Linked DNA regions of Arabidopsis thaliana. The protein of the gene in region 3 interacts with the protein of the main gene of each other region in a pairwise test. Each region holds a gene or a part of one and is shown on either strand. Other genes may lie near its edges. The genes, in order: ABCB16, AT1G76185, SFP1 and AT2G22425.

Region 1 (7,775 bases), on a different chromosome or scaffold from region 3:
TACCTGGAATTCTCATCCTGAAAGTATGTAGGCATGTCCGCATCTGTATAGGTAGGTACTTTGACTGCTACGATAATAGTGAAGAGACTGATGATGATCAGAGAACCCGTTCTCACTTGGCTATGAAAGCGAGGAGAATCTGTCAACATGACTAAGATTGCATTGTCAAAGTTTATTGTTTCTGTAAACTTTGATATGTACAAGTTTTTCTTTTATCCATTGTAGGATAAGGAGGTGTCTTAGTTAAAGCCAATCTCACTTGTGGTTGCTTGAGGAAAGATTTATTTACTCGGTCCCAAGATGGTAAGACATTGACTTTTCACCTCTCAGGATCTAAGAAACCACTTGTCTAGAAACTTAACCAAACGTGCAATGATGAAGGAAATAATACTAGTCCGTAGCTAGTTTCATCAACAGTGATCATGTTCTTTGGTTTTAAAAGGTATAGACGCAATGAACCCCAGCATTATTTTTACACCAACAACTAACAAACCCAATAATACGTCTACATGGTAACATGCTTCATGTTTTAGGCTTGTGAAACATATGTGAATTTATAATTTATACATATCTGACCTTTCTCTGAAGACTGACCAATGAGAAATAAGAGCCTGTGGGACCTTTTGCTAACAAGGAAGCGTGTGTCCCACTTTCTACAACTTTTCCTTTGTCTAAAACAGCAATCGTGTCGCAGTTCTGGATCGTGCTAAGCCTATGTGCGATCACAACGCTTGTTTTCCCTACCATCACATGTTCGAGGGCGTCTTGCACTACACGCTCTGATTGGCTGTCCAAAGCGCTTGTAGCTTCATCGAGGAGCAAAATTGATGGATTCTTTAAAATCGTTCGGGCGATAGCTATCCTCTGTTTTTGACCACCAGACAATTGTACTCCTCTGTCTCCGCAGTACGTATCATAGCCGTCTGATAGTGATGTAATGAACTCGTGAGCGTTTGCCGTCTTTCCTGCCTCGATAATCTCCGACTCGTCGATCTTGTTAGATGCTCGTCCATACATTATGTTTTCTCGGATTGTCCCCGCGAATAATGTTGGTTCTTGACTAACCAAAGACATGTGTTGACGAAGTGATCTTAGATGATACGACCTTATATCACGGCCATCGATTTTCACAATACCTTGTAACGGGTCATAGAACCGTTCGATTAACCCGATTACAGTTGACTTACCCGACCGACTTGGACCTACGATCGCTGTCGACTTTCCCTCGTGGATCTCTATGGAGAAGTTGTTGAATATAACCATATTAGGTCGCGTTGGGTAAGCGAAGTCCACATTGAGAAATGTGATTTGGCCCTTTATTTTTTCTAAGATATACCCATCCGGATTCTCCGGCTCAATGGTGGTTCGACGATCTAACACTGTGAATACTGAGTCAACTGAATTTGAGCCCTTGGCTAGATCTGTCGTCATTGTCCCAGCTTCGGCAATAGCCCGGCCTGTAGTCTTAAAGATCAAAAATAACTCAAAGAATGCTTTTGATACCATCTTCCCATCAGCGATTAATTTACCACCATACCAAAAATTCAAAGCTGAGGTGCACGTTATAAGGCTTTGCGTAGTCCCCAACATAATCCCAGCTAACCATGATTGGCGGGCACTTTCTCTTCGTGGACCTTCTTGAACTCTCTCGAGTAATTTCATGATCCGTTCTTGTGATGAGAAGGTTGTGATGGTTCGGATGTTGGAGACAGCCTCTGCAGCTAGTTTACTGCTTTCATCTTGGGCAATGATGGCTTTTTTCGACATGTTCTTGAGCAGAACACGTTGAATATAATAGCAGACAATAATTACTGGTTGTACTGAAATCATCACAATGGTGAATCTCCAAGCGATGACCAAACCAATTGTGCAAGCTACCATAACTGTTGATATGGTTTGTACCAGCAATGACATTCTTTCACCAACGAGCGACCTTACCTATCATGACAAAGCAATTCAAGATCAATAAATGGTAAATATATTTCTCATTGAAGGTCAAATTAATAAGGCAGAAAATATACCACGTTAGCATCTTTCGCTAGTCTGGAGCAAATTGCACCACTTGAGTTCTCTTCCTCATCGAACCAATTGACTTCAAACGTTAGTATCTTCGAGAGCATCTGTTCTCGGATACGTTTAGTCAGGTATTCTCCCATGTAGGAAAAACTATATTGTTGACTGATACTAGTAAAAAAAGTGAATAGAGCTAGACCAAAAAATAATAACACGTAAATTCTTGTATTCTCTTTGATCTGCTCATGGTTGGTTAGGAAAAATACCGATATCATTAACCCGGACGAATATGCGTAAATTGGTTGTACGGCCCCACCTAAGGATGCACTTAAGCAACCACATAATGCATGTTTCCACTCTGGTCTATTCATTGCCATCAATCTCTTAAACGATGGCACAAGCGGCTTCTTATCTTGAGGAATCGAGTCAGAAAGATTCGTAACAATGCTTGAACTCATGCTATGAGCCAAGTCTCTTGGATTATAATCCAAATCGTTTCTTAAACTCGAGACTCGGCCCTCTTTCACACCTACGCTAGTGTTATCACATGATTCTTCATTCTTCATTTGTTGTAAGCGAACTAGAGAAGTGTATTTACCATCTATCTCCATGAGTTTGTCGTGCGATCCAGTTTCTACAATGCAACCATTATGTAGAACACATATAATATCAGCATTACGAATGGTAGAGAGACGGTGGGCAATAACAATAGTTGTACGACCAACTGATGCATTGTCTAAGGCTTCTTGGACCACCCTTTCAGATTCTAAATCCAATGCGCTTGTTGCCTCGTCTAGGAGAAGAATTATCGGTGATTTGATTAACGCTCGTGCAATTGCGATTCTCTGCTTCTGGCCTCCCGACATATGCACTCCTCTCTCCCCAACCTTTTCGGTTTACACAAAAACCAAATATACGTTCTCATTAACAAACTAAACACAAAAAAGGCTTTAAAAATTTACTCTAAAGATATGAGTCTAAACCTGAGTTTGGTAACCATGAGGAAATTGCGAAATAAAATTATGAGCATTTGAGGCCTTGGCTGCTTCCACTACTTCATCAAAGGATGCGTCCTCTTTACCAAATAATATGTTCTCCTTTATCGATGTGGCAAAGAGCGATGGCTCTTGGCTAACCATACCCATTTGCGATCTCAACCATTTCACTTGCATATTATTAATGGACACACTATCAATGAGAATATCGCCTTCGTTCGGGTCATAGAACCTTTGTAAAAGCGATATCACTGTTGATTTTCCCGATCCACTTCCGCCAACCAGAGCTACAGTTTTCCCTGATGGAATTTTCAGACATAAATCATCAAAGATTAGGGTTTCGGGTCTAGACGGGTACTTGCACTTCACGTTGTTGAATTCAACTTCTCCTCTTATAGTCTCCAAAATATGACCATTCAAGTTGTCTGAATCTATATCAGGGACTCTTTTTATCATTTTTTGAATCCGTTCCCCTGCCACAAACGCCTCGGAGAAATATTTAAGATTCGACAATGCTTGACCAAGTGCTCTGCATAATGTAAAATACCAAATATCAAAACTAAGAGATGTTTTTTTTTTTGTGTGTTAGGAAATGCCAAGAGACTTAAACTTAAATACTTACGTGCCACCAAAGGTGACGCAAACTGTGACTGTGGAGACAGTACCACCTTTGTAGCCATAGTTCATAACCATCCGACTTCCATACCAAGTCAAGAACCCCCATATAGCATAAACTATACCATTGCTCCCAATAGCAATTCCTTTAGCTAGCCCTTGTCTCAACCCTAGCTTCACCGACCCTTGAAGCGCATCTGAGAACTTTTCTATCATCTTCTTCTCACTAACAAATGCATAGACGGTTCTAACCGAAGAGATGGCTTGTTCGGCGATAGAACCAGCTTCATTGTACTCCTCACGTATTTTCCTCGAGATGCCAATGAGGGCTCGTCCGTACATTAGTCCAGGGATCAAGAGGAGAATGATGAATGGGAAGCCTACGATTGTGAGTCTCCACAGCAACATGAAACCCACTATGTAGCTTCCGACAAACGCAGATGCATTCATCAAAATGTTTGGTAACTGTTTGAATTCAAAATCATCAAAAAAATTGTTTAAGAACAAGAAATATGATAAATAAAAATTGAAAACCTTTTCACTGAGGAAGTCTTGAATGACAAGGCTGTCACTAGAGACACTGGTAATAATATCAGAAGTGCTTGTGACATGAAGATCAAAGTAACCCACATCTTGTCTTAACACTGCTCTTAAGTACCTTTCTCTCATTTTTGCTGCTTGTCTCTCCCCTGTTCTTGTCCAACAATATCCTTCTGTTTTAAATATTAAACCCATCCACAAAATTAAACAAAATTTGTTATATTGAGGTGCACCAAATTAATATTTTAATTTGATAAAAAAAAAATTGAAAGAAACACACTTACCAAGGAAACATATCACCCAAGATGCACAAGCCACATAAAGCATGGCTAGAGCATTCTGTTAGTTACAACGTGAAAAAAAGAAGGAAGATACTATATTAGTACTCTTTCCTATATATTTAAGTAATGTAATTGATATGTGGGGCAATATAGTAATCGTAATCTTACTACACGTTGAGTTATAGTAAGAAGTTTAAGATTATGTAATAAAATATTTGGGTTTTCACATTTCTCTTATTGCTATCCCTATTTAACATACACATATGGACATATATGTAAGACGATAGTTTTTTATTTTTTGAAAAAGTCATAAGCCGATCGTTTTAATTAAGAATCCCACCATGCTTGGTCTACTTGGTCATGTCTAGTTTTGATTTTCCATTTTAAGGTAAATTTCTTGGCTGGAATTTGTACAACTCTCTGTCATCATTACATGAGAAACCACTTGTTATGTCTACAGTCTACTCATTGGAAAAAAAAAAGTCTACTCATTTAAATATTGTAATTTAGTTAATTCTATCATAATTGTTGGATTATTGCTAGTTTATTTGGCTAAAATAATCTAACTACACCCAGTAAGCCAATGTTCAATTGCCTTTTTGACCCGCCCTTCATAATCCAGTCTATCTGCTTCTTCTTTGAATGTTTGGTAGTAACTAATTTATGGGAATGTGAGAAATATTTTTATTTAAATTGGCTATGAACGTATTAAATAGCAAAAATATATGTATTTTAGTCATCATTTTAGAGATTAGCATGGCTCTCACTTTCAGTCTCGAACTCTTGCTTACCAACTTTTTTAGTTATAGAATATAATATCCTATGGAAATTAAACTAAATTCTTTGAATTTAAATTTTAATGAAACAAAACTTTTTGTTTATCCCCTTAACCTACAAAATCAATTTAAATAACATTAAATGAAAAAATAGCATTGCTTAATTTGCTTTACTCTTTACAACTCAAAGAATATAAAATTATATAAAACAATTCATGTAATATTTAATTTTTAAAATACTATAATTTAAATATATATATATATATATTGTATTATTGTATATAATCTTATATACTTAAATTAGTATTATGATCCTACTTAGAGAGAATATAAACCAAAACAAAGAGAAAAGAAGAGAGATAGAGAGAAAGGACCTTGGAAATGGGTTGCATGAAGGTTTCATCGTTGAAAGAGAAACTACCGAAGTCGTTCAATAGCATGGCTGTGATGAAAAAAAGAATAGGAGTGATGAAGCCATCACCGACGGCTCCGATTAACCCTAATCCCATCAACATCCAATCTACACCGTCGGCATGCATGAATATTGATCTCATGCTTCCCCATGTCTTCATCTTCTTCTCTCTTTTTCTTCAAGAACAAAAGATTCTCTCTTTTCATTTATATTTGTGGATTTTTTTCAAGTGTAATGTTATTTTTTCCGTCTTCCTGATTGTTCTATATATAGTAGCCGAGACAGAGCGACTTCACCGAAAGTGATATGATATGATATATATAATATTATTTGTTAACATCTGTTATATACCTGCAGTACCTATTTTAATTCGGTAAAACTTATACAACTCCTCGCGAAGACGCGAACCAGGCTCAGTAACCTAGCTACAAGAAAACAAATAAAATAATATATGCTGAGTACTTCAAGGCTTTAAGCTAATAAATTAGTTTTCAAAATTTAATTTGTGTATGAACTTCAAATACTTTCGTGTATTGCTGTTTCTTTTTCTTTGATAAACAATTAGGTTAATTTCTTCATTAATTCACAATGCTTTTGTAAAGATATTGATTTGATTTTACGACATAACGACGAACGTCAATATCAAAATAGTTTAAATTTCTCATACCATACAATTTTTTTTTTTTTTTAGGAAACATACTTATTTGAGTTTTTATTGCATACTTTCGCAAAGTTAAAGGGACTTCTCATGATTTGGCAAAATGACCGCAATTTTTCTTGTGGACGTCACCAGCGACTACTCGATTTAAAAAGATAGTACAGGAGATTGTTTAGCATGTTATTCTAGACTCAAATTTTATGATCTAATTTTTATAGATGTCTTTCTCGCAACATTACAAAGAGAACACGGCAAATTACGTCGGTTAATATTAAGTGTAACGTCAGTTATATATAAGCTGACTTAAAACTTCTACCGTCAGTTTGGAGACCGTCGTATTATTGTATGACGTTAATATTGTCTCGCTTTAAAGTCAATTACAAAGAAGCTCGTAAAAGTTCTTAAGCATAAGCTAATAAATCAAATAAACAGTTTAGACTCTGATTTATGTAGTGGACATTTATTTTAATGGACCTTCATATATTAAAAATTTTACGTTGGTTTACGAAGTGAAGCTGGTAAATCGACGTCATCCATTTTCTGTAGTGAAATCTTATATGGACAATCACTCTGGGAGTGTTGTTAAAAGTTTAATGTTTGATTGGAAACAATAGTAAATTGCTAATCTCTTTAGCTTATACTTTATGAAAGTGATTGCTAATCTCTTTAGATTATGCTCTTTCTTTTAAAGATTCCATGTTGCCCACCAAAGAAGACAGTAAAAACGACTCGATAGTGAACCAGAAAACCAAGAAATATACAATATGGAAGTGAAATATTATAATCAATGCTTCCTCTCTACCACCATGTTTATAATTCCATGTTTTCCACTGCCAAAGTGTGATTTCTATCAAGAGATTTGTAGTTCAAAGTCTTATAATTAATCAATAGAAAAGTACGTACTCAACAAAATATGCAATACATTCTATAATTTCAATTACAATAATTATTTCTGAAAAAAACGAGAAACAATAAAAGGATTTCAAGTAGTCCGAACTCATCTAGAAAGCTAGAGAAGACGGGTCAATCAACAAGACAATGCATCATCTTGATCAACTCCGCGCAATCAGTCTCAAAATCTAGTCTCTCGATCCCCTCAAAAAACATGGTTTAAAAACTCTAAATAAAGAGAGACAAAACTAGGGTTGGCAATCCTTCCAAGATCCATCCACTTGAAAATTTTCATGTGTTATGGACCTTACCAGTTGAACTATTACATCGGCAAGTTAATTGAGCTTCCTTCCAAGCCTTGAAATCAGATATAGTATGACTTGAAATATCTGATGGCTCACGAAAGTCCATGTGAGATATCACAAATGAACTTCTTTGTCCGCTTACAAAATTTCAAAAACCTGATTTTTTTCCAAAGATAACTAATTAAAAAGCCGATGAGATTAGAGATAAGACCCACGTTTATAGTGAAAGATGACATTTAAATAATGTCTGCTTAACTCTTTCCTCATATCCTCCACATCTTAGGTAATA
Region 2 (3,278 bases), on a different chromosome or scaffold from region 3:
ATGATGATTTTTTAGAAATTTATAACGTTCCTTATTTTTTCTTTCTTCTATTCTATGCGTTACAAAATACAAACAAACCAATAAGAACTTGGTTATTTAATTCTTATCACGCTATGAATCCTCAACGATTAGGTGTTATTTTAACTTATTATTCACTAAACATGTTGAAGAGGCCAATCTAGTAACGCATGATCTTTGAAATTGTAAATACATGATCTTGGATACTCTAAACAAAAAAAAAAACAAATCCAACAAGTAATATAAGTCCGATTGGCTCAATCGATTAGGAAGGTGTTGTTGCAATGCTACCGGATCTCATTTTTAGTCCTAATGCTACAATAAGACGGGTAATTTGCGCTTGTGAATCCGCCAAAAGTATTATCAAAGAAATGATCGTGGACATAAACAAACTAAAACTAAAGATTTAGATTTTAGAACGAATAGAAAGTTAGCATCATCTTTTGTTTACCATTTTTGGGGCACATAAAACAATCTTTCGTAATCTCGTTTATGGGAAAAGGGTTTGTGTATGTATTTTTTCAACGTAAATGGTTATGTTTTCATGCAGTTTTTAAAGATAAACTTAGATGTAGATAATGAAATCATGAGTAGACAAATGAGCATAAGATGACTTGGATTTCTTATGAATTAATATGTTAATGTGTGGGATGTCATTTTCGACCTATTGAAAAAGATATACTAAAAATATTAATGAAGGACAGATGGTAATCGGTAAATGCATCATCTCTTAAAATTCGCCTAAAATAAAAAAAATGAACCGACGTGCCACATCAGTAATCTCTGGTCTCTAAATTTAACAAAGACGTAGCACGAACCGTGACGTATCAACACACATATCAAACAAACCTATCTTTTTCAATACTAACTTATTCGTCTTTTTGGTTCTTGTTGTCATATACACCGAAGCTCAGCTCTTAACTTATTCTTTGGATAATGTTTTCGGTGATAGCGAACCGACAAATTGTAGCCGACACTTAGAATTCACAACTAAACTATAGATTTTAAAATAATATTAATTAATTCGAAAGTTTGAGATATCTGAACAAAGTTTTCTGAAAAACGTAGAATACATATGGATCAAATACTATAATTCGAAAGTTTCAGATTAGTGCTAAGTAATGAACGTCATGCGTTTGTTCTTCTGTCGATTTCTTCTTTTTCACCGCCCGTCTGAGTTTTATGGGCGTGATATTTTCCTTATTGTGGTCAAATCAGGAATATTCAACAATATTTAGCACTCGCTTTACTTGGTGGGACATGAGAATCAATCGATGCATCGCTGTTTTATTTCTTTTTCTTTGATGTTTCTATTTCTGTTAGAACAAAGTTTTCATGATTCTTAAAAGCCCAAATTTCATGGCATCGGAACAAAGTTTTCATATATGATGACAACTCAAAACAAAAGAGTAACGGTAAAAGCCCAATACCCATAAAATGGGCTTAAGAATCCAGATCGGATCTATAACCCGACCCGGTTGTTGACACCGAGAGAGTCCACGCAACGTTCGCCGAATTCCTAACGAATCGGACACCGTTTCGTCGCTGTAAAATTTTGATGCGAAATTTTCCAATTCACAGATTTTGTTTTTCCATTGTTTTGGATTTCTAGATTCTAGTTATATGTTGGTGATAGATTTTTCCTACATCTCGTGATTCTCAAACGCTTCTTGAGCTCTTCGTCGAATCGGGACTGTGATCGGGACTTGGTGGAGAAGAAGCGATGATAACAAGATCGAATCTAGCAGAACAGCTCAGGGAATATCAGATTAGATCAAAGCATGATTGGGCCTCCGTTTCTTTCTTCTCTTCCACCTCCAATTTCTCTTCCTCCAGGTTAGAGATCTCCGGCTTATCCTTTCCTTTTTAATCTGCTGTGATTTGGAGCTGCGTGCTTAGAGTTGTATTTGAAAAATTGTACTTTGTGATATTTAATTCAATTGGAACCGTAAATTTCTCATCTTTTAAGGGATTGTCGTTGAACATTGGATATCTATGTGAATCCTACACAAGGAACTATAATTTTGACTTGTCCACGTTGAACCATCTTTGACAATTTGACATACACTTTTCATTCTTATCGACTCTGTTGCAATCTGGATTCTATTGTTAAATTTTGACAATGAACATTCTATAGTGGTACTTATGCTATTCGTTTCGTTTGCTTTTGATTCAGGGTTGATGTTGTAGTCTTTGTCATATGGGAACTAGTGATGTTAGCACTCGTGGTGTTTTCAGCTGTATCCTTGTACTTCAGGCGGTTGCAACTTGCTTTTATCCTGCTTTGTGTCACCTTACTATTACTCCTCTGTATGAAAATCACAAAGCAAGTGAGACATGCTAGGAAGAAGAAGCGAAGGATGCTTCTTCCTCTCTCTATGTAAAGACCGAAACCATTGAGCTGTTGCGAACCGTTTATCTTCTCACACAACCAAACCACAACTCTTCTCTGGCATGAGTTTTGTGCCCATATGCATTGATGAAGATGACAGCTAAGCTCAGACTGACTCTGGGACGCATCGCTTTTGTCCTTTGAAGAATCGACCTGAACTTGAGATATGAAACCAGGGACTGCAATTTCAAGGCTTAGCTTAGACAAATCAGAACAAAAGTGCTGTAAAGGTTGTTTTCCTGTATAAAGTAGTATGGGAGGTTGCTTTATTTTTCCTAGGCACGATCACGGATTGTTAACTTGAGCGTTTTGTGATTAAAGATAGTTTTTCCATCTATCTATGTTACACTTAATATCATGATGAAGTGATTTAGATTTGTTGGCTGTAAAAAGTTTTTAAAAAATGATTTGCAGGATTTTCATGTGACGAGAAAAAGAAAAACAACGAACACTCATGAAAGTAGAAGAGAGAACTATAAAATGAAAAGTAGCAAGCAACTTGCTCGAAACGCTCACATGTTTCTATCATTACCTTTGCGCTCTGCAACTACTTTAGTATCTTGTTAAAGAAAAAGTGGTAATAGTTAGTATTATTTGTAATGTTATGGTCTGTCAATACACTAGCTTAGCTTGATTTGATTAACTTAATTTCCAAATAATGAGATACTGTCTACATGGTGATATAGCTTTGTCAAAGTTCATTAATGACAATGACAAAAACAAGTGTGTTAGTAACCAAGATAATTGCATTTAGTCGTAATTCATGTTTTGAAACGGAAATAATTAGAAAGATCGAAAATCTCTAGATATTTGTAGAAGGTCAGTACATAACTCCACGAGTGGTCGTGATCCAATTTGTGGACAAATT
Region 3 (7,867 bases):
TTCGAAATATATAGTTTTCTAAATATACTAGCTACTTCATATTAAACAGCAATATTAGGACTTAACAGTTTAGATTAATTAATCGCATGTTTATTGTTCATCATTAATTACCCTAGTTACCCAATACTAGAAATCAATCTCTTCTTTAATATATGTCCGAAAAATATTACATTTGCAATTTTAGAGATAAAATACACATGTACGTAGGCCAAGTTTTACATCTCGTAAATATACATCATAAAAATGGGGCTAATTACCCAGAAAAATAAAGTAGTAATTACATAATGAAAAAAAAAAATCCTTGTTTGTAAATAAACAAATATAACACCATAAACTGAATTTGATCATTTTTATAATAAAATAAAATAATTCAAATTAAGTTTGATTTCTTTCATCGGGCTGATGAATAAGTGAAACTTGTATTTCTTCGAGTGATAATCCTTTCGTTTCTGGAACGAGCAACCATATAAAAAGCAACGCTGCTCCACCGATACCCGCGAATATGAAAAACGTTCCTATTACATTAATTAAACTATATAAGAAAATTATAAATTAAATGCAATTATAATATATATATATATATATATAGACATTAGGAGAAAATAAAATAAATACAAACTATATAACATATTCACTCAACCAAAAATTTAACTAATTAGTCTTTTAAAATAAAATAAACAAATAGTTGTGTTATAAAATGTATATGAGGTTTCATTGAAATGCTATAAACACAGACTTTGAAAACTATATAAGTTTTCTAGACTTAATCATTGATTATTTCTATGCGATATACAAAAAAAAAGGATAAGTTATAACTTTTTTTGTTGATCACAAGATAATTTATATAACCAAAATTGTATAAAATGGATATTAAGAAAAAGAAAAACATAATACCTTGAGTGCTCCATTCGAACAGAAAGTTGAAAGCGTAAGTGACGATTGAACTACTTGAAAATGAGACTAACGTAACTATACTTCCTGCAGTTACTTTTATATTTATTGGAAATATCTGCACACACCAAAAATCATACATATATTACTTTATTTTTCAAGACATATTACTTACTTCCTGCATAGAAATAAAATTAACAGTGAAGTAAATTTATGTACCTCCGACATAATTACCCAAGGTAGACCTCCCAAGCCTATTGCATAAGTTGCAATATACATCTGCCGATTTAAAAAATATCAATTTTAACTATATTTTATATGTAAAAGAAACATCAACGTAAATATTTTCATCAAAAAGATTGTGTACAAGGAGATATAATGTCTTACCATTACGCATATAAACGATAATATTGGAGTTAGTTCCGAAAGCAATTGCATTTTCTGCTCATGCAAAAACATTGTTAAACAAATAAGTTATTGGTTTAAAAACAGAATAAATAAAAATAGTAATTATCTTACAAAAAAAATAACCTGTAATGTGAAGGCGACCCCAAGTAGCATGCAAGTCATGCTCATCCCAAACGCTGAAGTCTATGTCAAAATAGTAATCAAATCAATATAGACTAATAGATTTGAATCTGCGAACAGCCAGAAATTATTTAAAGACATGCTCACCATCAGGAGAGGACGTCTGCCCCATTTATCGACAAGAATGAGGCCAATCATGGCTTTTGGAATCTGCGAATAGCCAGATATTATACCATTCAATGCTTTCACGAGTTAAAAGAAAAAAAACTAGTACATGAAAATTCTTAGTTCAAAGAGTTCATTAAAGTACGAAATTTTAACAAAATAAAAAATGTCGTTTTTTCAACTGTGATAAAATGTCGATTAAAACGCCAACATCACACAAGTTTTGTTTTTTTTTGAATATTTGGAAGTTGAAACCCAAAAATTCTATATCTCCTAGAAACGCGACCTATACCAGGTTAAATAACATCACACAAGTTTAGTTGCTCAATAACAACAGATTTCAGAGACGTAGTTTCATTTCTTAAATTTTGCATCCATATAGTCAAACAAAATTTGAGAAAAACATTTATATATACTTACCACGAAGATACCTAGCATCGTCGTTCCAATGGCCACCGAAAAACCTGTTTCCATCCAGAACAATTATTGAGCAAAAAAAAATGGAAAGAGGAACTCATGGTAAATATTTACTAAAACCCTTTCTCTTAAAGTATTTAGAATGAGCTAATGGCATCATTTTACAAAATAAATACACAATTTAATTTTATTTTGAGAAATCTTAGGAGTTCAGGACCTTTGCCCATAATCTATTGATTGGTAGAATAAAATATGTTTTGTTAGAAAAAAAAACATTCTCAGAGAAACTGAAACTTCTATGCAAATCTTCACTTGCAGATTTGAACAGATTGTCATATAATATATATATAGTTATTATTATTTCTGACATTTTAATATAAAATTAAACATTAATAAAAATAAATGAATGCTTACCAGCTTTTCTAAAAATGGTACTTGCATAAGAGATTACAGCAGCACTTCCTGAGAATTGTTGTATCAACATTAGCCCGATTCCTACCTGAGATATTAATTAAAAATGAATGCTTGTGCAGATAAATTAAATATGAAAATTTGATACTCTAGAAATTAGTTTGATGTACTTGTACGTACCACGAGGGTGTATCTATACTTTCTCTGGAACAAATCTGAAAAACTCGACTTTGAATCATTTTCCACCATTTTGGTCATTACCTGAAAACAACACAGAATTATTCAGACTTTACATTTTTTTATTTGTGAAGGAATGAAAATATAATTTCAAAGAAAAAGGGAATGTATATTTATTGAAAATTATATAAATTATAACTGATAATAGTATATAGTAAAACTCACTTGAATTTCTGAGGCTTCACGTGAAATATCAGCATCTCTTCCTCTAAGCCGAAACAGTGAATTTTCTAGTTCTTTATCGGAGCCAACTTTGGCCTTCAAAATGAAAATAGTTTGGTTTAAATTTTTTTCTTCTCATGGTTGATAATAATTAATAAATTACGTAAAACACTAAAGAAAAATTAAATGACCAACCAGCCATCTTGGAGACTCTGGCACGAAGAATAAACCGATTACTTGAATGAAGCATGGTAAAGCACCTAAACCAAAAACGTATTACATTTTTATCAGTTGATTTGCTATAATATAACAGCTGAAGATTTCCAGTTTTTTTCTACTATACATTTAACATATTCTTACGTCTCAAAACAATTTTTTCACGATGAATATGGAATTTATAGTCTTACCTAATAAAGCCAACGTCCTCCAAGTGATGAAATTCCCACAGAAATAAATCATGGCGAGTCCAGCGTTTTGAAGAAGCTAATAATCAATAATTACACAAGAATGAAACAAGGATCAATATACTCACGAGAAATTTTGAAAAGTTTTAATTTGGATTTTGGTTGGTTTGTCTTAGACTAGTTTGTGCTATTTTTTTTTTTTGTCAGCACTCATTCTTATAAATATTCTAAAAACCTAAAGTATTACCTGGTTTGAAAACGTAAATGTACCACGAACATGTTTTGGCGTAATTTCTGCTATGTAGACAGGTACCTGCTTGGTAAATAAGCAAAAATTACAGATCAGAAAACAAACTTACAAAGATGATATTAAATAATAATAATAATAAGTTAATTACCACATAGCTCGTCAAGCCGAAACCTATCCCTGAAATGATTCTTCCGAAGTTCAGCAACACTACTTCCTATTGTATTCCAAAACATAACATAAATTTAATTATTGGGTTTATAATAACCATAAATTAATTGGTTTGTTTATTTTCTAAGAAATAATGTTTGAATGAAAAAAAAAACATGTTTATGAATAGAAAATAACTAGTAGTACCTTAGCAAAAGCGATGGAGAGCCAACCAGTGATGCATAGGAAATCGGAGACCCACATTGTCTATTATATCATAAATAGCAAAAATATTATTATAAGCATCATATATACGAAAATTATAGTCACGAAAGAACCAAAAAAATAGAAGAATGGTAAAATTACGAATATGAAAGGTGAAATGGTTAAATTAATTACCCCTCTTCTGCCAATGACCATTGCCAGATTACCGCAGAACAGTGCACCAATTGCAGCTCCTAAAGTGGCGAATGAGCCAAAAGCTGAAAACTGAGAAAAAAATGATTTATAACAAATATAGTTTTCATATATATAGTATTATTATTATTATTTTTAATATATATATATATATATATATATATATAATATTTCAATATTTCAAATTTCTATTATTGTAGATGAGAGAATTGGCCGGAGAATGGTTCTGGAACGATGGAAACGTTGATAGCTAGATAATGTTTTTATAAGATGATTTTGACAACCGCTCAATATATCAGGATATATGTGCATATATATAGTTTTGGTAGGGTTATTATTATGATAAATAATGTTTTTTTTTGGATGATTTCGACAATTCCATATATATCAGGATAATATATATATATAGTTTTGGTAGGGTTATGATAAGAGTTTAAAAAATGGGTAAAAAAGGAGGTGAACCACACCAACAAAGAAGTATAATCAACTCAATGGGATAACGACAATCTATATGTTTCTTCTTTAGAATTGATGGTTGTTTGTTTCAATTTGAATGAATAAAGAAACAAATATTTACGGATTTAAAAATGATGTGAAGCTTGTATTTTGATAAAAATTGAACGATAATTAACCTAGCTATTTTTTGCATATGTCAATATGTCACTCGCTCTCAGTTGCTTAATTATACACAAAACTTTGTTTGTTTGTTTAAGGATGATAGTATAAAAGAATTAACTTTGAATGGATGTGGTTTTTAAACTAGTTTTTGGTTTTAGTTTTTTCTAAAATCTATTTTGTAACCATTCAAAATTTTGAAAAAACAAGTTTTCTTAAAAAAATAGGGAATCTAGTTTTTGAGTGTTTTAACAACTTTTCAAAGAAAATCAAAATCTATGTTTTGAGAGTTTCTCTATAAAAAAACCATCGATCACATTTTTTATTTTATTTTTAGATTTTTTTTGTAAAATAAAATATAATCCATTAACATAAAAACCAAAATCTAAACAAATTACCATTCAAGTTTTTAAGAAACTAAAATCTACACCAAAAACAAAAACCAAGAAAATCAAAAACTAAAAACCAAAATCCAAAAACCATTTTAAAAACTACAAACATTCATGGCCTTAGTCTTTTTTTTTTGATAAAATTTGCTACTTGGTTAATTTTCAATACATGTTTTTAGAAATAGAAGAAAAACCGTAAAAGAGAGACATACTTGCGCGATAGAAAGATCCAAGTCCTTCATAACTCCTGTCTCAGCACCTGAAGTGTAACCAGTCTGTATAAAAACAACAAAAACTATAAGAAAATAGGTATAACGTAATTATGAAGTATGTTTTCTTTTCATACAATTTTGTTGTTTTCATTTGTTCTTCTATAGAAGAAGAAAAAATCAAAGTAAGGTAAAGTAGAAAACTCACAGCAACACCAAAAGAGAAGGAGCCACAAACGGCGACAAAAGTGCTAAGGATAACACAAGCAGTAATACGACACTCTGAATCGTCGTTTTTGTTCTTGAGCTGCAAAAGCCCTTCTTCTATGCTTCTTCCTTCCTCCATCACCATCCCTTACACTTGCATGTACTAATATGACGAAACTTATGGTAAAGAAACAGTGAGAGCTAGAGAGAAAATGCTCTGTTTTTAGCAAAAAACCAAGAGAGCTAGAGAAAGAAGAGAAAGAGAGCGAATGATGTGTTTGTCAATTTAGACTACGTATAAAAAGAGGCTGGGAATTAAAAATGGTTATTTTGGTTTTCTACTCTTTAGGGGTTTTGGATTGGAAAAGCTAACGTGTGGACGTGAGACGTTTTTTTAAACAAGATCAAGTCAAATTTCATTAAACCAAGTTTTGTTGTTTTAAATTATAAAAATACAGCTAAGTATTAGTATATGATCATTCATCATCTGGATTCTAAAATAGTTTGACGTATACAAAATGCTAAACACTTTGAAAAAATATCCTTTAACCAGCAAATGGTGAAGACTTCTAATTAAGGGTTGGATTGGAAAGCTAACGTGGACGCGTAAGACCTTTTTTGTAAGACTTTGGGTTTTATTGGTAACCAAAAGCTGTACAAAATTTTTATTTGTTAGCTTTATCGGAATAGTACAAAGCTGTTAAAAGGAACTGTATAAAAAAAGCTGAGAGTAAAACACTTTTTGTAACGTTTTTGATAAAAAAATTGTGATTGGTAACTGTCAAAACGGTACAAAACTGTATTGTTATTAAAATGGTTACCATTCAAACCCTTTATATCATTTTAAGTCAAATTTCATTCAACTAAGTTTTCTTCTTGAAAAAATAAATACAAGTACTATTTAAATTATTATTATATGATCATTTGTCATGAGCGTATTCTTAAATAGTTTGACGAATTAAAAATACTGTAGTATGAAAAAAATATTGACATATTCTTTAAAATACCAAAGTTTTTTTTATAACAAATTATAAACAACGATTAATCGTCTATAGCGAATGATCCTAGTTATATGTCAATGTGGAGAAAGCTCTTTTCACATATAATTGGAAGCAATAATCTGAGTCAGGACATATACGTTACCTTGGATCAACAAAAATCGACAGTTACTCTTTTTTTCTCTCTGAAAGATTATTCTCAACTTGTAAAAGTGACGTCTTCTCTTGTTGATTGGTCCCTTATCTCAACGTATCTAGATGGATTCACGATAAGTATTATTTTGAATTCCATGCAATTTAAATTATATTAATGTGTATATATTGCTGGTTTGGATTATGGAATATTTTAACTTAAATTCATATCTTTGAGTAAAAAAAATATCTCTCCAAGACTATAACATTATAAGTTTGAATGGTAACACAATACAGCTTTGTACAGTATTGATAGTTATCAATCACAAAAACTTTATCAAAAACGTTACAAAAAGTTTTCTTCTTAGATTTTTTGTACAGTTTTTTTATACAGCTCTTTTAACAGTTTTGCACTATTTCGATAAAGTTAACAGCTAAAAAACTTGTACAACTTTTGGTTATCAATCAGATCCTATATTCGGGTGTTTTAAGAAGTTTTCACTCGTAACCAAAAGAAAATTGGATGACGATGGAACTCCATATTTGATGTAGAAAAAACAATCATTTATAGTCATTCATAATCATTGGATGAAAACCGTACGTTTCAACCTTTTTGTTTCTTTTTTTACATTAACTTGTTTAAATACCTCACAAGTTATTAGAACCTTTTAGTCATTCTTTGATTGAGTTTGCTAATACTTTTAATTAAATGTTTAATTAATCATAATTTAACGTTTTTGTCCTCCGTTGTTATTATTCTTACGTGAGGATCTATATTTGTACCTGTTACCATCTAGAAATGGAACCAAGTATTTAATTTTATTCATCAGTCTGCTGCTGAATTTTAAATATTAGGAGATTATAAAAAAAGAAAGGTCAACTAAAGAATTCGTAACGCGTACGGATCAACTATAATATCAATAAATGCTATTTTTGACAAATTATCAAATCTACAAATATTTTTAAACGCTTAATGACATATCTGTCCAAATAAACCATACAGAAGGAGAAATGATTAATGGAACTATATAACTAACGATAGTACTAATTTAAGTGTTGTCTAAAATTTTGTATAAACAACTTTAATCTAAAATCGGATAGACAGAAACATGTTAGAATTCAACATGTTATCTGACAATTAATCCATATGTAATTGTACATACAAATAGTCGTTTGGAATTTGAAACTACTAACTACATCAATTAATCATCGAAACGAAGTACATAGATAAGACCCTTGGAACATTAGATAGAGAACCAACTTACTTGCCTTAAATTCTCCTGAATCT
Region 4 (3,078 bases), on a different chromosome or scaffold from region 3:
TGTCATATATACCTTGTATTTGATTTTGTCTCTAGAGTTGACTAGTTTCTTACAATCACTGAATTTTCCTCTATTGTTTATCCACATGATGTATTTTTTTTGCGATACCATGTAGATTTTGGCTATTGCTACTTCCGGAGAGCTCTCTCTTTGTTTGTGAATTTGCTTCATCCTTCTGGTGAAGGTATACTTTTCATATCCTCTGCTTCTTCCTAATGCTGACCTAACTAAACCACTCCTTTTTCTCCACAGCTCATTTACAAGCATCCTGCCAAATGTTGGTTCTCTCAAATTCTGATTCCAAACCTGTACGCGTTCGCTGATTCAACTGTCATTTCGTTTCATAAGCCTATGACCTACCTTTAAGCGTTCGCGTTCGCCAGATGACTCGAATCTCCCGGAATATGAACCCGTGCAAATCCTCTGACCAGCGACTAGCGGAACAGTTTGGAATCACACAAACTATTTCTACTTCGACTCAAGAAAATAAGAAGGAGCAAAGCATCAAAGACTAGCATTGGTTTTTGCACACAAGCTTAACACAGAGTGTAAATGGATGGTGTGATATTTATGTACCATTTTCATAAAAACTGAGACTTTTGTGATTCATAAGACTTTTTCATCTAAAACTCTCTGATGATAGATAATCTACACAATTCAGTGAAATTGCCAGATTACAGCCATAGCCATTGATTCAAAAGCAAATTCCTTTGGCAAAAACAGATAATTATAAGAATCAACCCAGAATATTCAATTCATAATTAAGATTCCGATCCACAAATATCTCATACAAACAATTCTGAGAGAGAGAGAGAGAGAGAGAGAGAGAGAGATTCAGAATCAGACCTATTTCTTAGAGAATTTCTTCTTCGAAGCAACACTGACAACTTCTGGTTTGGGATGCTTCTCGGCTTCGCTCGGATCTAACCATTTGAGAGGATGAAGATTGTAGAAAGGCCAATTAGGTACAGTAACCAAAGTCGTGAGAACAACACCACCGGCATAGATCAGCATCATCGTCCTGAACGATTCCGTTGTGTAGCCAACAACCACCGCTACAACGCCGGAGATCACCAGTAAGATCTGCATCAGCTGCTCCACCAGTTTCTGTCCTTGCCAATCCATTTTCTTCTACACAACGAAATCAAAAACCATTAGCGATTTGAATCCAAAGTTAAACAAAAGAGAGAATCTGAGAACCCTAATTGCACAAACCTTTAGCGATCTGATCTCTCACTGAATCTGTAAACCTGATTTTCAACAATGGGGAAGAAAAGAAAGGACTCTTGACATTTATGAGCTAAGACCACAAAATCGGTTTAAAAGTAAACCGGATAAAGTGGACGGTCAGATTACTCTATAACCGGGTGAACCGGCGGTTTTTAATGTGCCTTAATTATTTCGAGATTTTGTATATGTGCAAATTCTGAAACCTTGAAACAAGGAATATTTACATTTAAGTTTCTTTGTGTGTACCTCAGAATTAGAATGTTGCTACTTGTCCAGTCCATAATTTGTTTATTGGGACAACAACTTCAGTGATTAGATAATGTTTACTATTTTATAGACTGGTGTGACCAGATTGTAGCTTTAGCAGTGACCAGTATTCATAAACCAAAATCAAAGTTTTGGAGAACCAAGATCCATGGCATGTAGCTAAAAAGATTTGCATCAATTTAGAAGTCATAATTAAGATTTCTTCTCTTTACTAATGATAATTCAAGATACAAGCAATACATCAATAGGCCTTCTATTAACAACTCTACAATTAAACCTAATCTCACCAGGTCTCCCAGATTGCAAATCACCCAACTTCACCATGCCTTCTGCAAAAGCCCTAAAGAACTCATCTTGATCCTCACTAAACATCTTCACATACTCTCTCGTCACTAGATTCGTGTACAAAGTCTGATCAGAGTTAAGAAACCCTCTCCCTGAAACCAAGTCTTTGAAATACTGATTATCAAAAACCTGAGGTGTTGCATCTAGATCTCCAGTCACATTCTCATCTCCACCCAAAGGACAAAGCTTATCAAGCTTCTTACGGTAACTCGGTTCAAGAGCTGGATCCGGTTTACCAGAACCGGATTGGTTATAAAGTCTGAACATGATTGAAAAACACCGACCTTGACCTATTGAGTGTGACCCTGATAAAGCAACCATGTCTTTTACAGAAAGATTGAATCTTTCGAAGAGATCAATCAAGAAAGTTGCGTTGGCTCTTGGACTTGGCATTATATCGTCGGAATCTTGCTGACTCGCTGTTAAACTGTCTTTCCTCCCTAGCTTCACTTCCCAATCTGGTCCTCCTGTCTGGTTTTTTCAAAGACCAAAATTACAAAACCGAGATTTCACTAAACCGGGGAAATTGAATTTTGACTTACAAGAGCAACGGCGTCACGAGCGGCCATGATAACGATATCGGCACAAGAAACAGTAGCTGGACAAGCTTTCTCTAGAGCTTCTTTAATGTCGTCAACGACTTCGAAAGATCTTAGTGAATCGATGTTGGAAAGTGATAGTTTTTCACCAAGCATGTTTGGTGTGTCGTCAAGCAACAGAGATGCGTCACATCCCTGAATTTGATGATTCAAAGAAAAATTCAGAGAGGAAAACAGAGTAAAGATCAAGAACAGAGAGAAAGATTTATAGTGTTTACATTGACGAAACAGTCGTGAAATTGGAAACGCATGACGGAAGCGACGCTTCTTGCTTCTTTGATCATTGCTTTCTTCATTTCTCTTCTTACTATGGATTCAGCTTCAGGGCATGTCTCGCTGTAGAATCTTGGTCGGAGAGTTTCTCCAGTAACAACCACCGTCAAAAGTGTTAGGTAGAGGATGAGATGGGGAAGAAGAGACATACTTTTTTCTTTTTTGGTGTTGTGTTTCAGTGATTGAAGAAGAAGTAGAGACTTTGTTTGTTGGGTTATAAAGAGGTTTTTGGTGGTTTTCGAGAATGATACTAAAGGCTTTTGTGTTTATAGATGGAATTTGTGCAAGTGTGGTCTCTGGTGGTGGTGGGCATTCCAATTTCTATAATTTATTTCTTTAATAAATAGAAATAAATAAATAAATA

The links.
Region 1: the proteins of SFP1 (region 3) and ABCB16 interact in a protein complementation assay, tested with the Arabidopsis thaliana proteins (one large-scale study listed by BioGRID).
Region 2: the proteins of SFP1 (region 3) and AT1G76185 interact in a protein complementation assay, tested with the Arabidopsis thaliana proteins (one large-scale study listed by BioGRID).
Region 4: the proteins of SFP1 (region 3) and AT2G22425 interact in a protein complementation assay, tested with the Arabidopsis thaliana proteins (one large-scale study listed by BioGRID).

What each region holds. Positions count from the first base shown.
Region 1 is NC_003074.8:10,610,510-10,618,284, forward strand, and holds ABCB16 (P-glycoprotein 16), read right to left. Parts: upstream 5,853-7,775; 5' UTR 5,793-5,852; coding exon 5,595-5,792; intron 4,503-5,594; coding exon 4,448-4,502; intron 4,337-4,447; coding exon 4,158-4,336; intron 4,089-4,157; coding exon 3,631-4,088; intron 3,538-3,630; coding exon 2,997-3,537; intron 2,901-2,996; coding exon 2,022-2,900; intron 1,939-2,021; coding exon 562-1,938; 3' UTR 515-561; downstream 1-514.
Region 2 is NC_003070.9:28,588,756-28,592,033, forward strand, and holds AT1G76185 (NADH-ubiquinone oxidoreductase chain), read left to right. Parts: upstream 1-1,569; 5' UTR 1,570-1,741; coding exon 1,742-1,854; intron 1,855-2,194; coding exon 2,195-2,402; 3' UTR 2,403-2,776; downstream 2,777-3,278.
Region 3 is NC_003076.8:9,646,685-9,654,551, reverse strand, and holds SFP1 (Major facilitator superfamily protein), read right to left. Parts: upstream 6,045-7,867; 5' UTR 5,595-6,044; coding exon 5,451-5,594; intron 5,309-5,450; coding exon 5,246-5,308; intron 4,102-5,245; coding exon 4,012-4,101; intron 3,880-4,011; coding exon 3,820-3,879; intron 3,680-3,819; coding exon 3,614-3,679; intron 3,529-3,613; coding exon 3,463-3,528; intron 3,295-3,462; coding exon 3,219-3,294; intron 3,072-3,218; coding exon 3,007-3,071; intron 2,908-3,006; coding exon 2,815-2,907; intron 2,674-2,814; coding exon 2,593-2,673; intron 2,501-2,592; coding exon 2,416-2,500; intron 2,049-2,415; coding exon 2,005-2,048; intron 1,630-2,004; coding exon 1,567-1,629; intron 1,483-1,566; coding exon 1,423-1,482; intron 1,333-1,422; coding exon 1,279-1,332; intron 1,171-1,278; coding exon 1,111-1,170; intron 1,010-1,110; coding exon 895-1,009; intron 516-894; coding exon 376-515; 3' UTR 126-375; downstream 1-125. UniProt on the Arabidopsis thaliana protein: Sugar transporter.
Region 4 is NC_003071.7:9,513,126-9,516,203, reverse strand, and holds AT2G22425 (Microsomal signal peptidase 12 kDa subunit (SPC12)), read right to left. Parts: upstream 1,510-3,078; 5' UTR 1,216-1,509; intron 1,132-1,215; 5' UTR 1,126-1,131; coding exon 847-1,125; 3' UTR 530-846; downstream 1-529. Other genes in the region: AT2G22420 (Peroxidase superfamily protein), read right to left, coding at 1,720-2,313, 2,385-2,576, 2,660-2,863. UniProt on the Arabidopsis thaliana protein: Component of the signal peptidase complex (SPC) which catalyzes the cleavage of N-terminal signal sequences from nascent proteins as they are translocated into the lumen of the endoplasmic reticulum. Dispensable for SPC enzymatic activity.